3 linked regions of the Drosophila melanogaster genome follow. The protein of the gene in region 1 interacts with the protein of each later gene in a pairwise test. Each region holds a gene or a part of one and is shown in the gene's direction. Other genes may lie near its edges.

Evidence for each region.
Region 2: the proteins of CG15109 (region 1) and CG4115 interact in a two-hybrid assay, tested with the Drosophila melanogaster proteins (one large-scale study listed by BioGRID).
Region 3: the proteins of CG15109 (region 1) and tko interact in a two-hybrid assay, tested with the Drosophila melanogaster proteins (one large-scale study listed by BioGRID).

The regions. Positions count from the first base shown.
Region 1 is NT_033778.4:19,057,082-19,061,858, forward strand, and holds CG15109 (uncharacterized protein), read left to right. Parts: upstream 1-2,339; 5' UTR 2,340-2,405; intron 2,406-2,514; 5' UTR 2,515-2,537; coding exon 2,538-2,562; exon of another isoform or gene 2,563-2,653; coding exon 2,654-3,798; 3' UTR 3,799-3,984; downstream 3,985-4,777.
Region 2 is NT_033777.3:12,357,600-12,364,226, forward strand, and holds CG4115 (uncharacterized protein), read left to right. Parts: upstream 1-2,408; 5' UTR 2,409-2,530; coding exon 2,531-2,676; intron 2,677-2,737; coding exon 2,738-2,891; intron 2,892-4,963; coding exon 4,964-5,326; 3' UTR 5,327-5,656; downstream 5,657-6,627. Other genes in the region: Tim17a1, read right to left, coding at 6,318-6,627.
Region 3 is NC_004354.4:2,441,342-2,446,017, reverse strand, and holds tko (technical knockout), read left to right. Parts: upstream 1-2,041; 5' UTR 2,042-2,232; coding exon of another isoform or gene 2,233-2,284; intron 2,285-2,352; 5' UTR 2,353-3,191; coding exon 3,192-3,656; 3' UTR 3,657-3,705; downstream 3,706-4,676. Other genes in the region: boi (brother of ihog), read left to right, coding at 1-157, 425-967.

The DNA.
Region 1 (4,777 bases):
TGCTAAAAGACATCTCCGTCAGACTCGAAGTCAAATCCATCGAGCATCCAAGATGATCAACTATAGCGGTTTTGCATATTTGATGCACTTGGCATAAACTTAATAAACTTTGCCCCCAGTTACAGGTTATAAACCCGGCGCACCAAACTCGTAAAGATGGAAGCGCGTTAAAGTCACTGAGCCACAACTCGTTGTTTTATGACCAACTCGATGAACTTGCCGCTCCCCCCGTTTGCCATTTCCATCTGGTTTTGTCTAAGCATCTGCCATCATTCTGGCTTTTGTTGCACCATTTTTCACTATTAACAGTAGCCATAAAAGTAGCGTTTGCGCCAATAAAACTTTTGACATGTGGGGCAGGAGGGTTTCCTTAACGTTTTTTTTTCTTACTTCTAGCCGGGCCAGGTGTTACCTTCAACCTTTGCACCTGAGCTTCTCCAGTTGCGTCTGCTGGTCCTGCATCTCCACTTGTCATTTGCCACTGTGGCCCCAGCTACTTGCTACTTGCCACTTGCGCATTTAATTAAGTTTACGCCGCGCTGCACACGCAAAAGGACGAAGGACGTTATTAATTAAATTCCTTTATACACAGGTTAAGCCAGCCATCCCCTCCACCACCTTTCGCCTTTGTGTGTCAACAATTGGAATATTAACGAGGCAACTAATGAAAGTTTACAAAGCCGGAGTCTTTTCCGCCGAAACAAATCGAAAGGGAAACATTTAATAAAAGTCGCACTCACCGATTTTCCGCCCGAGATCAAAGCAATTGCTAGACCAGTTCCCCTAGCACCACTTGACCCACACGGCGGATGCGTGATTTTCGCTACCAATTATAGTGGATCGTCTTGGGAGCCTTTTTGCAGTGTCTGCGTGCAAATCCCGCCGCGTTGATGCACTGCGGCAAAGGTTTCGGACCCCTAATAAGCCACGACCTTAACGGACTCACACATCAAAGCAAGAGCACGCACACCCACTTACACACTGGCTTATAAGCCCCAGACACGCAGACATATGCAAAAAGGATATGTATTAACTGTACGCATTTAAGCCGCTTGTCGAACGCGCACAAATCCAGAAGGGGAAAATCGACTTTTATTCAATACACTCGAAAAATCAACTTTGGCAGATAAAAAACGAGAAGATGAAAACGAGACAGCAGGATGGACCGGAAAAACGGGGTTTTCGAGGAGTGGGGCTACAATATGCGAGTATAAATGTGCAAATCCCCAATGCAGCAACAGCTGCTGCTCAGCCACGCCCCCTTTCGACCCCCCTCCCCGCCTTCAGTGCACTCGTTTGGCATTTACATTTAAGCTGATAAGGAAAAGTGCCTGCTCCTCGGGGTCCCTTGGTTTACCGCCTCCTGCACCCCAAAATCCACCTGAGCGCCAAGTCGCCTCGAAGGGCGCACACACACACACACACACAAGCACATCGAAGACGGCGATGAGAATTGTTTGTTGAAAATGTCGCCAGTTTATGAAATCGCGTGCGTTGGCAGCAAGGAATTCACATTTGACGCACGCACTTTACATTATTAATGCCTAAAGACGAAGGCGGCAGAAACAAGTTCAAGTTTTAGGCTAAAAAAACGGGAATCGAGAAAGAAATACCCTTTTGAAAGTAACCAAAATTCATTTGATATATAACACAAAAGAAGATATAGTTGTTACATTTTGAACAAATGGGAAATTATAGTTTAAGTCAATAAGTCAATCCATGCAGATTCATAACCTATATTTCATATCTTCGATAATTCTTATATACCTTTTATATCAAAAGTTACATGGAGTAGGTGAGTAGTGCTGTGTGCGTGCTTGTGTGCGTAGAGAAGCATCGATGTTTTGGAAAATGCTCCTGCCATTTCGCAAATGTATCGCATTTCCGTTTGGGTGTTTGCACTTTTACGCTTCGCTGAGAATTTTCCAATTTTTGCTGCTAATATTTATTAATCAAGTAATAGCTACTCACACGCAGGCACACACTACGTGTATGAACACTTGAGCTTGTGCCTGTGTGTGAGTGTGAGGTCGCTTGATTTTTGCACGAAAAATTGATTGGAAATTTATAAGCTAAACTTTTTCCACTGTTTGCTTTTGTTTGCGGCCCACGAAACAAACTTTTTTGGTGTGCGCGGTTGTGTTTTGTTACTTTTTTTTTTGTTTTTGTACCATTGCTGCCATTTGCAGCACTTGAAAAGGTCGCCACAAATGGAAGTGAGTGTGTGTGGAAAATCCCCATCAGAAAAATATTGAAATTCGATTTTTTTTTTCGTACTCTCAGTAACCTTTTACCAGGTCCCCAGCTGTCTGTCAAAGCCTCGCCATGAGGCAGGAAGCATTTCGAATTATTTTCAGTACAAACTTTGTGCCGAGCACACCTAGAACCCACTCCAATCAAATAAAGTAAGTTCAAATTGTAACTATTCTGGTGGAAAAAAATCTACAATAAATATTCAACTCTGAGAATATTTGTGGTCACTTTTCACTTTTTCAACTCAACTGTCTTCCACAGCGCTGCCTATCATGCAATACAAGATGAACTACTTGCTGATCCTTGGGTGTAAGTATACGTTAGTTTTCAGTACCATCTAGCATGCAATTATTTATAATTAATTGCGTGTATTTCAAACGCATCCATTGTTTTGCTTAAGGTGTCCTCATGTTGATGCGGCCGATGTACGGCGATTGTCTGCGCATGAAGCGTTCTCAAGGCGATACTGCAAGTGATTATAATGAAACCACTACAATGGACAATACTGCTTCACTGAGCGGAAAAGCCACCGTGTTGGCCAATAGTACCATTACCACCGCTAACATGACTGAAGCCGCCACATCTCCGGAGCAGAAGATTACTGCTGGACCGGTGCGCAGTATGGGAGTTCGTGGAAAAACCACTAGCTCCACAACCACCACCGCATTATCATCATCACTTGCTGCTGTGGCATCCACATCCTCGCCTCCGGATGCCGGAAAATTTCAGCTAGTGGAGGATCTGCTGGGACTGCGCCGTCCCAAGAGGCGTTTGGGTAGCCTGATGGACGACAGTCTGCAGCCACGACAATTGCACCACAAGCGTCGCCCAGCGGTGGAAGCTGCTGCTATGGCCACCTCATTGCCACCCAACCCTAATCCCAATCTTAATCCCAATCCCAATCCCAATTCCAATCCCTACGTGTACTACAACAAGCTGGTTTCGCCAGATGGCAAGCACGAGATAAAGGAGTTCGAGCTGCTGGCGCCCAACATGATGATTGAGAGTGTGCAGCAGGAGCTGAACTACGGTCCGGAAGTTCTGCCACCGGAATTGGCCGGAGTGCTACTGCTGAATGCAGCCGAGAACACTCCACGCGGACTTCATAATGCAGCACCACTGAAGCACCATCGCAAGCATAAATCCTCGCCGGCTGTGCCACCGATGCTCTACATGCTGCAACAGCTGTTGCAGCCCAATTTCGAGGGAAATCTCTTGCTGGAACCACCAAAGGAGCCACAGCGTCACGTTAGTTCACCCCTCTATCAATTCCTTGATGGCGCCATGGATCTGGCTTTGCGCAACAATCCCGATGTCATCGATCACCTGCTGGGCGATCACCTAGAATTGGAGCTGGAGATGGAAAAAAAGAAGGGCATCAAGGATAAGGCACTAACGAAGAAGGCCAAGAAGGAGGCACAGAAGATGGAACCCAAGGAGGAGCTCATCGTCAGCTGTCCCATTCACCATGAGCACCATGCCAATCGTAATGGCGACGTGGTCGAAGATGATGTCGTTTTGGTGAACGAGTGCCATCTAGTGTGAACCTGAAACGGGCAGCTGTCACAATGTTTCTTAAAAATTTTAGGTTACTTGTTTTTCCGCATTCTTTTTTTTATTTTTTGTTGCTTCAACTGGAAGATGTTTATATTTCTTGCATATGTAAGGAGTGGCGAGACCATTTTTACTTTGTATACAAAAAACAGACAATAAAAACTAAATACACATCATAATAACTATGTTCAGCGGAAGAATATAAAAAATCAAGCTCGAAAGTTGCAATATAATCCTTCGGGAATGCCATCATCGAGCAGAATGGCCATTGTTCCGCCCGTAACAAATATCAAACTTACGCTCCAATCGACACCCGATCCCCTGGGTGGCCTTCTCCTTGAAGTTCTCCTTCGTTTTCATTAACAAAATCGATTTCCTACCTTGAAATGTCCTGAGGGGAGAGGTGGATGAGCGGGAAAATTGATATGCCGAGTGCGACAGTGCAGCCAAACGAGCAAACAAATCTAACATACAAACCCTTGACTGCGGATGAGAATATATCCTCCATTTATAGCAATACATGTGTGTGTGTGTATGGGTGTAGGGGTGGGACATAGCGAACGGAGCCGAAAGGCAAAAGTTTTGCCGGCTGCCACTGCTAAATGCTGCTAATTTCGTATACAATAAAACTAATGTAAATTGCCACTTGACGTTCACTGGGCGTGTAAGTGTGTGCCATAGTATGTGCAAGTGTACTGGCTGCACATACATAGACATTAAATGGGGCACATAATGTGCCGGGAGTCAGGAATCGAGAATCAGAATTCAGGCTTCAGGACTGGGAACACCAGGGAAAGGCAAGCCATTGAAATAGCGAGTGTCATGGGTGCCTGGCCATCAGCATAAATACAAATTTGCTTCACAAATCCACGTATATAATCTATATAAACTGCACTAGATGCCAGCAGTACATCTACATGTGCCAAGCGGAAAAGTGCAACGCAGCATTCGTAAAATTGCGTAGCTCCTT
Region 2 (6,627 bases), on another chromosome or scaffold:
GTGAACATATTTGCATAAATTATCGACACTCGATGAAATTGGGACGACTGCACCTGACCTCACTCTCTTTTTGTGCAAATAATTCAACAATATGTAACCTGTGCAAAAATATTTTTCAAAAACAGAAAACCGAAAACAGAAATATGTACAAGGAGAGTACAAAACTTTTGGTCCAACTGACGGCGGCACTTTCTCCTTTAATATTTACCCAACTCATCGACAAATTGGCCAGGCCCATTCCCCAGCCTCATCTCATCGGTCCCAGCCGCATAGCCCATAAGTCAGCCCCTTCTCCCTCTCCCTCTCCCGATCCCGATCCCCATTCCGATACCGTCTGGGAACTCATTGCGTAAATATGAGGGCATGCAATGCGGTAATAGGCTGGCTGCGCGTCTCTTGACAGTTGGGCCCAGTTTCCCGGTTCCTTATCACATGATTATTACCCAAAAATATTATCGCTAAATGATGATGATCATTTTGGGCTTGAGAGTGCCCACGGGAATTCATGTAACGCCGAGTAGCTCACACAAATTAAATAAATTATGCTTGCCCGAAAGACATGGCTTAAGCAAATACACGTGTTGACCATGTAAATGGGTTGCCTAATTTATTATAATTTTTATTGCTCTTTGTCGTTCAGCATTGCACGCCGGTCATTTGAAATTTGAAATTTAATATGTGGAATTTTTTCAATGCTAGCAATTGGGATTTTTCCAAACTCTGTGTACAATATATTGAAATAATTTTACTTAACACCCACCTCTGTGGCATAGTTTAATAATAATCGATACAAATATTTTGCTAAATATTATAGAAATTTCTGAGAAATGGGCGCGGCTGGCCCAGCAGCATCCAGCATAATCCGCCCAAAGTGTCCAACGAGATACATGTGTCAGGTAATGAGCGGCACCTGCCTTCGTGTAACTTTTGCCGTTTTACCGATTGCCATAAAGTGCGATTTAACAGATACCTTTGCTTTTTCAAAAACCGCCATTTTTTGGTTTCGGCTGTGTTCGGTCGACATGCTCAACTGCACGTGAGTTGAAGATGTAAAAATAAAGAAAATAACGCGCGGAGGAGACAAAACTTATCGAGGCGATCATGTTGAAATGCGTGAATTGAGCTTGGGTTTTGGGTTTTTGGGTTTTCGGGTTTGCTCGGCTTACTCTTCACTTTCAACTGGTGAAATTTTCGTACTCATCGGGGCTGACCTTGATCTGGGTCCCAAGCTGTGGAGAAAATAATGTAGATGGGCATCATTTCTTATGCTTATGCAATGGCAAGTGTGTTTGGGTATATCTTCTGGCTATTTATGGCCGGCATTATGTAACGTTTGGCAGCTCATTTAAAATTATAAGTACGATTAGTTGTTATATAGGTGCGTATTTAATGTAGCCACAGAACTTATTGATTAATAAGTGACCTTTACATTTCAATTATGTCGATTTCAATCGACATAAATTGTTGGTCAACACATCAGTTGAGATTATGCAATGAGCAAAGCGACAAAAGCACTGGCAAATACATACATTTCTGAGACGAAGCAAACAATAGCGTAAAATGCATTTATTTATGCAAAGAGACAGGAGACGCAGCACACAAAAAAAGTTCGAAATTTCCGTGCCAAAAACGATTTTGGCTCAAGTGGTGTCGTGTTTGTGAAGCTAATTAGATGGGAGTTAGCCCAATCCATTCAACGGCCATTCAAAGCGAAGTGGTGCAAAATGATGCGCAAGCCAAAGAAACGCCACCCATCGCCCACCGATCGTCCCCCCCTCCCCTTTTTTTGCACCACTTTGGCCACTTATCATTCACGGTTGCTGGTTAAACAGCCACTGAAGATTAGGCCATTCTCCCCGTGCTCCAATTTATAAATGGGTTACAGATTGCTCTTAAAATATATACATACATAGGTGCAAATTCACGAGTATCTACTTAAATCAAAAATTCTAGCAAGTCGCTAGAATTCTACTAATCTACTAATCTTAACATTTAAGTTTTTAGCTTAAAATACTTCTGGCCTAACCATTTTCCAATCTATTCAAAACATTTAAAAGGAATTTTTCAAAATGAATCAATCTCTAAATTTATTGCCTCTGTAGTACAGGGTATTCAAATTTCGACTTGCATACAATCAGCTCCGTTGATTGTTACAATGTTTCTCACACTAAAAATCCTGAAAATAAAAAGTTAAATTAAAAGAAAGTATATGGTTTTTATAAAGAAAAAAGAAGTGTTCAACAGTAGGACTTCATGGAATAAACATTTTCGAGTGTAGTACTGCCGCCAAACCAAAAAAAAAGCCCCACCACTCATTCTCTCTTTTTGGGGTACGGCGCTCTCATCGAATTGAGTGGATGGATCGATGCGACTCTCGGTTCGTATATAAGGCGGGGTTCCCCAATGCTTTTGACATTCCAGTTGATCAGTGCCAGCCGATCGGTCGGTAGAGAGAAGTGCGTCGCGAGTCCAAAAAAGAAAATCGAGCCCGCAGAAAGTGCCAGTGAATAGACTGATAAAGCAAACAAAAATGAAAGCTTTCATTATCGCCGGAGTGTGCGTGTTGAGCGTGCTGAGCCTGGGATCCGCTCAGTTCCAGAACGGACGTCTGGAGCCGCCGAATCCGCAGCTCTGTGCCCAGCGTGTCATTCACGAGAAGACTCCCGATGGCAAGGGGTGAGTCAGCAGGATATGCTCACCAAAACATAAACTATAGGGTTTGCTTCTCTCCCCGCAGTTACTTCTTCTCGTGGCGCGACCCTCAGCTGAAGGGCGTGGAGGAGGACTGGCTGACCGCCAGGAACTACTGCCGCAGGCGCTGCATGGACTCCGTTTCCCTGGAGACCAGTTTGGAGAACGAGTGGATCAAGCAGTATGTTGTGCGCGAGAATGTAAGTACAAATTTCAGGGGCTATAACGATGAAAATAAATTAAGGCAAGAAATGATAAGAGAAATCGAAAGACTTAGGAAACGAACTCAAGTATAGGTGTTGTCATGAATAGCACACAAATGCGCACACGCAAAGCTAATCTTTTATCTCAACTTTCATAAATATTTACTCCGAAAATGTTGAGTCTATAAATGGATTGTCCCAAGTCAATAAATTAAACCTTACGTAAGTCCCACTTATGATATTGGAACCATGTCCAAACTAATAAATTGATCTGAACTTCAATGCACCTGTTTGTTAAACATTTAAGCATTGATAGATCAAACAAATGACCGAAAATACCATTGAAATGTGCAACTCATTCACTATGTATATGTTTTTTTTTCCGGCGAAAGGCTATTATAAATGCAAAATCAAACACTAATAAATGGACCGCATCAATGTGGACTTTTACACCTTAAAGTCGAAAAAGCTTGCCAATAATTTATTGTACCTGCATCTATTAGATTTTGTTTCCGTTGTTTTCTCACCTGTTTTGCATGACATTATGTCACCTTTCTTAATTTGTTTGGCAAGTTAAATAACGTCAGTTTAGCCGCGTGTGAACTGTTTAGCGCGTTTTATTTGGCAGCTCAGACAAGACACAACAAAACGCTGACCTTAATTCCGAGGATGCTGGGGGGGCACACAATAAAAATAATTGCGAAATCCCTGACACTAACATCGCTCCACAAAGTTCAATGTGAAATTGCGCATAAAAACTGAACGGAAAGGCAAAATACGCATCATAAATACAGAAAAACTTTCCCAGTTGTTGCCTCTGTAATTTTGCACACGAATGGAATCGTCTGATATTATGCAACGCTCTTCGGATGAACAAGTGTCAAGTTTGGAGTTGTGGTCAGCCGGGCTCATCTCATCCCATCTCATCTGCCATCTTCCGACTCATTGCCCACATCCCATCTCCGGTTTTGCGGCATGGGAAGGCACTGGCGGTCGAATTAAAATCGAAAGTACATGTGTGCGATGGGAAAGCCTGGCCGGAAAAGCTGATCAACAAAATTACTTAGCAAAATTAGCAAGCTGCGAACACGCAACCGAATTCATTTGTTTTACATTTTGCGTATAAGATCCAAAAGGAAATTGAATGCAAACCATAGGCGATAAAAAGTCGAAGATGGAAAGTAACTCATGATCATCGAATATTAATATATTAACCACATATCAACCAACATATAAGACAACAAATCTTTTTTTAGATGTCCAATGGAAACGCAGTACTTTCCATTAAAATTTTCCGCTTCCTGCTAAGTTGCATCTCCCACCACCGACTTCTCTGCAAGACTTTTATTTAACTATTAGTAGGACAGGTGTATAAACATCACTCATTTAGGTTTCCGCAACGGGTAAAATGCATTCATTGTCTGAGTTTTAAACAATTACATTGCAATCTGGACCCCTTAAATGAAACGCTAAAACCGCCAGCGACAAAACCGAAATCAATGTCCATAAATCTATTTCAGCTTTACGCTCATTGGAGTTTTCCAAAAGGGCAGACATCCACATCGAGTCGTCTGGGTCTCTTTGTTTTTTTTTTTTTTTTTTTTTTGTGTGCTGCCCCCTTAACAAAACAATTTTTATGGCCCATCAGGTGAAAGTGACTGATGATCGCTTAACTGCGGCTGCGCAGCGGCTTTTGCTTTTGCTTCTGCTCACTTGAAATGTTGACAGTATCGGGTGCGCCAGCTCCAAAAGGGCGCGGACTCGGATTCGGAATGGGAATGGGTATGGGTATATGGGTTCGCTTTCAGCGATAAAAATGGTTGTTTGGGCGTGACAGGCCCAAAAGAGTTGCTAACTGGAATTTCTACCACTATTTTGTTCGTCGATGCCAGCCCTGCATTTTCTTGCGTAGGTGGGGGATTGATGGGGGAAATTTCTATTTCTATTTCAGTATCTGCAAGGGGCAATGAACTATTGATACTATTTCATTGATTCAGTTTCCTTGGATGGATATTTGAATTTTGTCCTGGTTTCAGTACATTAATGAGAACACTACTCTCACGTTGCAGGTGAAATACATCTGGACCAGCGGCCGCTTGTGTGACTTCAAGGGCTGTGACCGCCCCGATCTGCAGCCCACAAACATCAACGGTTGGTTCTGGACCGCCACACTGCAGAAACTGGCACCAACCACTGAGAGGAACCAGGGCGATTGGTCGCCCACCGGAGGCATTGGCCTGCCCCAGCCGGACAACCGCGAGTACAAGCAGAATGGAGCGCCGGAGAATTGTCTCGCCCTGCTGAATCAGTTCTACAACGATGGCGTAAACTGGCACGATGTGGCATGCCATCACAAGAAGAGCTTCGTCTGCGAGGAGAACGATGCTCTGCTGAAGTATGTGCGCTACACGAACCCCAATCTGCGCATCTAAGAGGATCGCGATCAGGATCAGAATCCGAATGCGAATGTGGGCTGGCGGAAGGACCAGCGACACTCTCCAAGTAAAACCAAAAATGATATTTCCCAAATCGGCAGCGGGAACGATGATCGATGTCAACTATATGTCTAATCTCCGATTGTCTTTGAATGCAAAGTTTTCTGGCCAAATTGCTGCATGATATACTTACTTATGAACCCTATCCTGGTAACCACCTTCCAATTCTCTGCGCTCTGTTCTGTCTCATCAACTAGTTTAATTCTTAATTTTGTATTAATTTATGATTTTCTTTAATTATAATAAAAGATTCGAAACGATTTTGATAAGTGGACAACGGCATTATTTATTTTTTTGTTAATTTGATATAGCATTGAACGTTTAAATTGATTTATTTAAGGATATTATGATAGAATCATAAATACCTCTTTTCCAGGGTAGAGGTTAGATATTAATAAATGCTTTTTATTAAATCTACAGATCCTAAGAACCCTCTTTCAAATTGTATGATATTGTTCAGCGCTGCAGATATGAATATAAATCTGTTCCGAGTTTTGTTTTCCATACGATGAAATAATTGTACAAATTTGAATTATAAAAACCAAAAAAAAGTTCTGTTTCAAGCTGAGCCATTTGAAGTATAACACAAGAGAAAATGCTACAGTCGAGTTTCCCGACTACCAGATATCCGTTACTCAAGTAGTGGGATTTTTCTGGGATATCTATAGATTGGGAAATACATACATACATTGTTTTATTCAACCTTTAAAAAAATAAAGCCACAAAATAAAGTGTTTCGAACTTGAAATTCTGACGCCAAGAAGTATGCTATGATTTTGATAGTAGATAAGCTTTAGTATCTTATGCGTTTTGTATATTACGATCATGAAATGAACGGTGAAAACTAGTACATGCACACAATTTTGATGAGTGATTGTTGAGAACGAAAGATTGAATGAAAATGAAAACCCTTTTTTTTTGGGCAACACTAGAACATCTGGGACAGTTTCACCAGATCCAAGAGGGAATAAAATGGCTTCTGTTTGGAATCTCGCTCGTGACTCTTAACCGGAATGTCCTGAAGTAAATTTGGTTCCCTGCTCGCCCGACATTTGTCCAGCACCCGTTCAAACTCCGCCAGTGCGAAATCTTGAGTGGATGACGCTCTCTTCGGATCAATAGTCTCCAGTATGGCCTCCCACTGGGCCCGCTGCGGCTTGATGACTATCCCTGCACCTTTGTCGGCTGCATTAATGGTGGCCACTGCTGCACCGGCTCCTTCAATCATGGCCAGCACC
Region 3 (4,676 bases), on another chromosome or scaffold:
CTCCTGCGAAACGCTGGAGGCCTGCGACGCTGCAATTAAACTGAATCTCCCTCAGAAACACGACCAGGAGCAGCTGGATGCTCCGAACGCGGTGCTGGAGGCGCCCAGCAAGCCGCTACCTCCGCTGCCCAAGAAACCAGCAAACGGCGCTGGCCAAGTAAGCCTGCAATTGAGATCGAAAACAATAGCACACGGGCGCATACCAACCGATACAAACAAACACTGTATACCAATTTTGACAACATCATCTTGCTGACAGTCTGTGCATACAACTCCCATGTGCTATTGCTTTTCCGCCTCCGCAATCAGGATAAGCCAACCCCCAGCCGATATTGTTTTGTCAACATTGTCATTCATTCACTCATGAAATAACGATTCGCCTAGTGCCCTATCCTGCTAATTTATGTCTCCTAATGTTCCACAGAACAACTCTGGACTGCATCAGAATGGCCTTCACCACGCACAGCCGTACCATCCGCCTGGCACGCCCACTCTGATGCACAAGCGACTGGACTACCACCAGCAGCCGCCGCCGGTGCCTCCGCACTCGGCCTATTACCAACAGGCACCCACGCACCAGCCGTCGCCGATGATGGAGCGCAGTGTCAGGGGTCACCAGCAGCCCGGGGGCTTTCATATGGAGGAGGGCACACCCACGCCGACCAGGATACCATCCCTGCGGCGACAGCGACGCACCTCGGGCAACCAGCAGGTGCACAACAGCCACAGCAATCTCAATATTGGCCTGAGCCACCACAACAACAACAACAACAACCTGCCGCCGCACCACCAGCATCTGCACCACCACCCCGGCCATCCGGGTGGCCTGGTGGGCATACCCATCGTGCCAGGGAGCCCTAGGGTCCAGAGATCGCCGATGCCGAGCAGGGCGATGATCAAGAGGACGCGCCTGGGCAGCCACACGGACAACATATCGTCGGGCAGTCTGAACAGTATTGAGGTGTGATGGCTCGCAGAGGAGGCAACTAACTAGTGGACTAGTGGGCGGAGCAGCACAACGAGGAGAAATATACCTAAGCGGCAAGCGAAAGTGGTTCCCCAAAAACAGACAGTTTCAAGTAGACTTAAGGATCCGAAACTAGATGTGTATTATTGAGATAATCGTAGGACAGGTCGGCAGAGCAGCTCGAAACCCTCGAATATTAGCTTTAAGGCACCCGGTACTGTTTAGTTTTCCAAAAAACCAATTAATTTGGCCAATCATTAAGCTTAGAACTAGGGAATTTGCCATTAACAGAAGTTTCTGTCGTTTCAAATGCTCGAGTAACTTTGTGCTAAAACACTAGTAATCAAGTTTTGTTTTCATTTTGAGCTCATTAAAATGTATTTCGAGCAGAACGTTTAATTAAAAGAAAAAAACAGCTAAGCAGCTAAGTCGTTAAACGTTAATGCTGCTTCGTTTTGTTTTAGTTAAATATTGAATTTGAAAATATACAAACTTTAGTATAAGGAATTGGTAATGTAAGACTTTTTTCGTTGCTGCCGGCCAGATAGTCAGTAGAATTACTAATGTTAAGTTTTTTTTTTTATTATTGATAGAACTATTTCGGGGGCCAAATTTTATCTCGAATAAGCCCTGTAGCATAGCGTTATTTATTTATTGCAGTGTAAACGTCAGGCGTCAGCAACTCAAATTGATTAGTTCAATTAACAAGCAACCTAATGTACGTTTAAGTCAAACCAACTATATAGCATTAAGTTAATACATTTCTAGATGTGACTAATACACAAAACCCAAGAGAGAAGCATCCTAAACTCGATTTAAGCTCATAGGCGGCAGTTTTAAACGAATATGCGAGTCCTGAAATTAAAAAGTGAATCTTTAAACATATTTTTTAACGTATTTTTGTTTTAATGATGGGAAATTTAAGTGCTGTCATTCAAAATACTGGGATTTTCATATTCTTAAATACCATTTTTAAAAATCCCGCCTTCATCTGGCAACTCTCACTGGCGGATGCACCCACCATGTTTTAGCGAGTGCACCTACCATACGTGACTGCCATGCGTGACTATCGACACCTGTGCCAGCTCTAGGACAGCAACAGCTGATTGTCACATTAGAATTGAATTGGAATTAGATTATTAAATATTTTAGCGCTTTTATAACACAAAAGGCCGACTAAATAGCTTCCGAGCAAGCGCCACCAATCCGAGCGACGGCTGGTACTACAAACTGAACAAAAAACTACTGAACAAAACTCCAAGAGCATGAATTTTCTGCGGCAATCCTTTGGCATTACGAAACAGTTGGCTTCGCAGGGTAAGCTTAACTAAACCAAGTTAAATACCTTAAAAATCGAATATTTTAATTGATTTGGTGGCCATTAGCTGCTCCTAAGCAGGAACTGGCCCTCAGGAGTCCGTGACTTGGCGCATTTAGCCACCCTTCCGCTGCGAAGCGAAAACCAAATAAACCGGGAGCGCATAAGTGTTTGTTTTCCCCCCGACTTTCGTGCATTTCCCCCAGGTTTTACCAACTCTTTTTGAGTTGGCCGCGCGTGGCGGCCGCACTTTTCGCCTGCGAATATTTTCATTGCCAGTTTCACATGCACATCAACATGCACATTCCGCAGCTCCCCCGCTTTAGATTGGAAAAATAATTGAAAACCTGTCACCCCGAAAAAGAAGGAAAAGCGCGGAAACAATGGAAATGTTCAACCGCAAAAAAAAGGTCGCAGTTTAGGAGACAATAGGTGCCGGATTTGTTTGTCCGGCAATCCTGCATATGGAAATTATTACCTGCCGCTTGTGTTGTGTGTGGCATTTGGCATATTTATAATTGAAAACGCTGCTACGTCGCTTTGTTTCTGGCCAAAAAGGCTTGACAGGATTCGGAGCGAGTACTTCCATGCTTGCGCGTCATTTGGCCGCAATTATTGTCGCCAGCCGCCAACTCCGTTCCACAATTCTCGATTTCCACAGAGATTAGCCGTATGACAAAGGAGCCAGCACAGAACCAGCGGGCATTGTCAATCACTGACCAACTGTCCGTGGAAGTGACCCTTTTGTCCGCATTTCGAAGCCGGTACAGTCGTGCTTTATTGATTTCGAGCGATCTCTTTCGCTCCCATCATTGCATTCTCAATCGAGTCGATCGATGGCCGAACCCTTGTGTGTTTATAGTCTAGCCACTTTCTCATAATCAACTAGGAGTGTTACCTCTAAAAATGATCATGATTGCAATCTCAAACTTGGAGCAGTTAATTTTGTTGTACTGGTTTTCTTTAAGCGACATATCTAACTCTTTCACTTCTTTGCCAGCCATCCAGTGCAGCTATGAGACCGCCGTCCGTGGAATGGCATCGCTGCAGCAGATGCACCGCAGCGGACCGCACATAAAGACGCGTCCGCCGCGCCAGCCGCTGGATGGAAAGCCCTTCGCCAAGGGCGTTGTCCTGAAGACGCTGATAAAGAAGCCCAAGAAGCCGAACTCGGCCAATCGAAAGTGCGTGCTGGTGCGCCTCTCCACCGGCAAGGAGATGGTGGCCTACATCCCCGGCATCGGGCACAACCTGCAAGAGCACAACATTGTACTGTGCCGCGTGGGGCGTCTGCAGGACGTGCCCGGCGTTAAGCTGAAGGCTGTGCGCGGAGTCTACGACTTGGCGCACGTCGTCAAGAAGAGCCAATAGTTAATAACCACTTCCTAATCACGTTGTTCAAATGCATTGCTTCACAATCAACAGACGGATGCGTCGTTCTTATTATTGTTTGTTTTTTATGGAAAATTATGCAGCTCAGCCGGCTTAAGAGGTAAGTGAGTGAGTAGTGACAAGTGAACGGGCTCAGTCAGGATCTCCTTTCGGTTGGCTGCATTCTCGTAATCTTAAGTCAATAGGCTGTCGCATCATCTTTACCTAAGAATAGCCGGGTCTCTCAGGGGAAAATGGTCTTAAACGGCATTTTACGCTTTAGCTGGCAAATCCTTTTGCATGAATCCTGTTTGCTTTTTAACAGAATTGCAAATTTTCTGCCAAATAATCGTTAGCTGAAATGGGCGGCACTCCAATACGCCCACTCTTCACAGCTACGAAGTTCAATGGAAAATCGATGTAGTAGTTGGTCCTTTTTGGGAATCCTGCTGGGTGACTGCCGAAAATTAGCTAAGAAAATTGAGTTCTTGCACAAGGGGAAGTATCTTCTTTAAAGAACTGGGACTTAAATACGTATTGATCAGTTCTGATCACAAGTGCGATTGCAAATCACGAGCTTGGTTTGTTTGGTTTTTTTCGATTGCTTATTCGCTGAAGATGAAACGCATATGGGCACAAAATGTAAATATCTCTGATTGCAAGCTATATAATATCAAACTTTTATTACAGACACAGTTCATAGTTGTTGTTGGATCCTCAACCCGAATTGTCGGTCCGAATCAAAGTCGTTTCGGTAGTGTCCTGCGCAGTTCTCACCGTTAACCCATCCGCAGAAAGGACTGTCGCAGAGACCGTTAGGCAAATACATTGAAGGATCCTTTTTAAGTTAGCCGACGTCGAAGCTGTCGCCGTGTAGATGTCTTTTTTGTCCACATCCTCGGATGGATGACATTTCAGTGACCGCAGCAATGCCGTTTCCTCTGTCCGCCAGACATTGTGTCAACAGAGGGCCAGAATGCAGGACCATGGGTGTACCGTTAGTCCCGAACGAATGTCCTT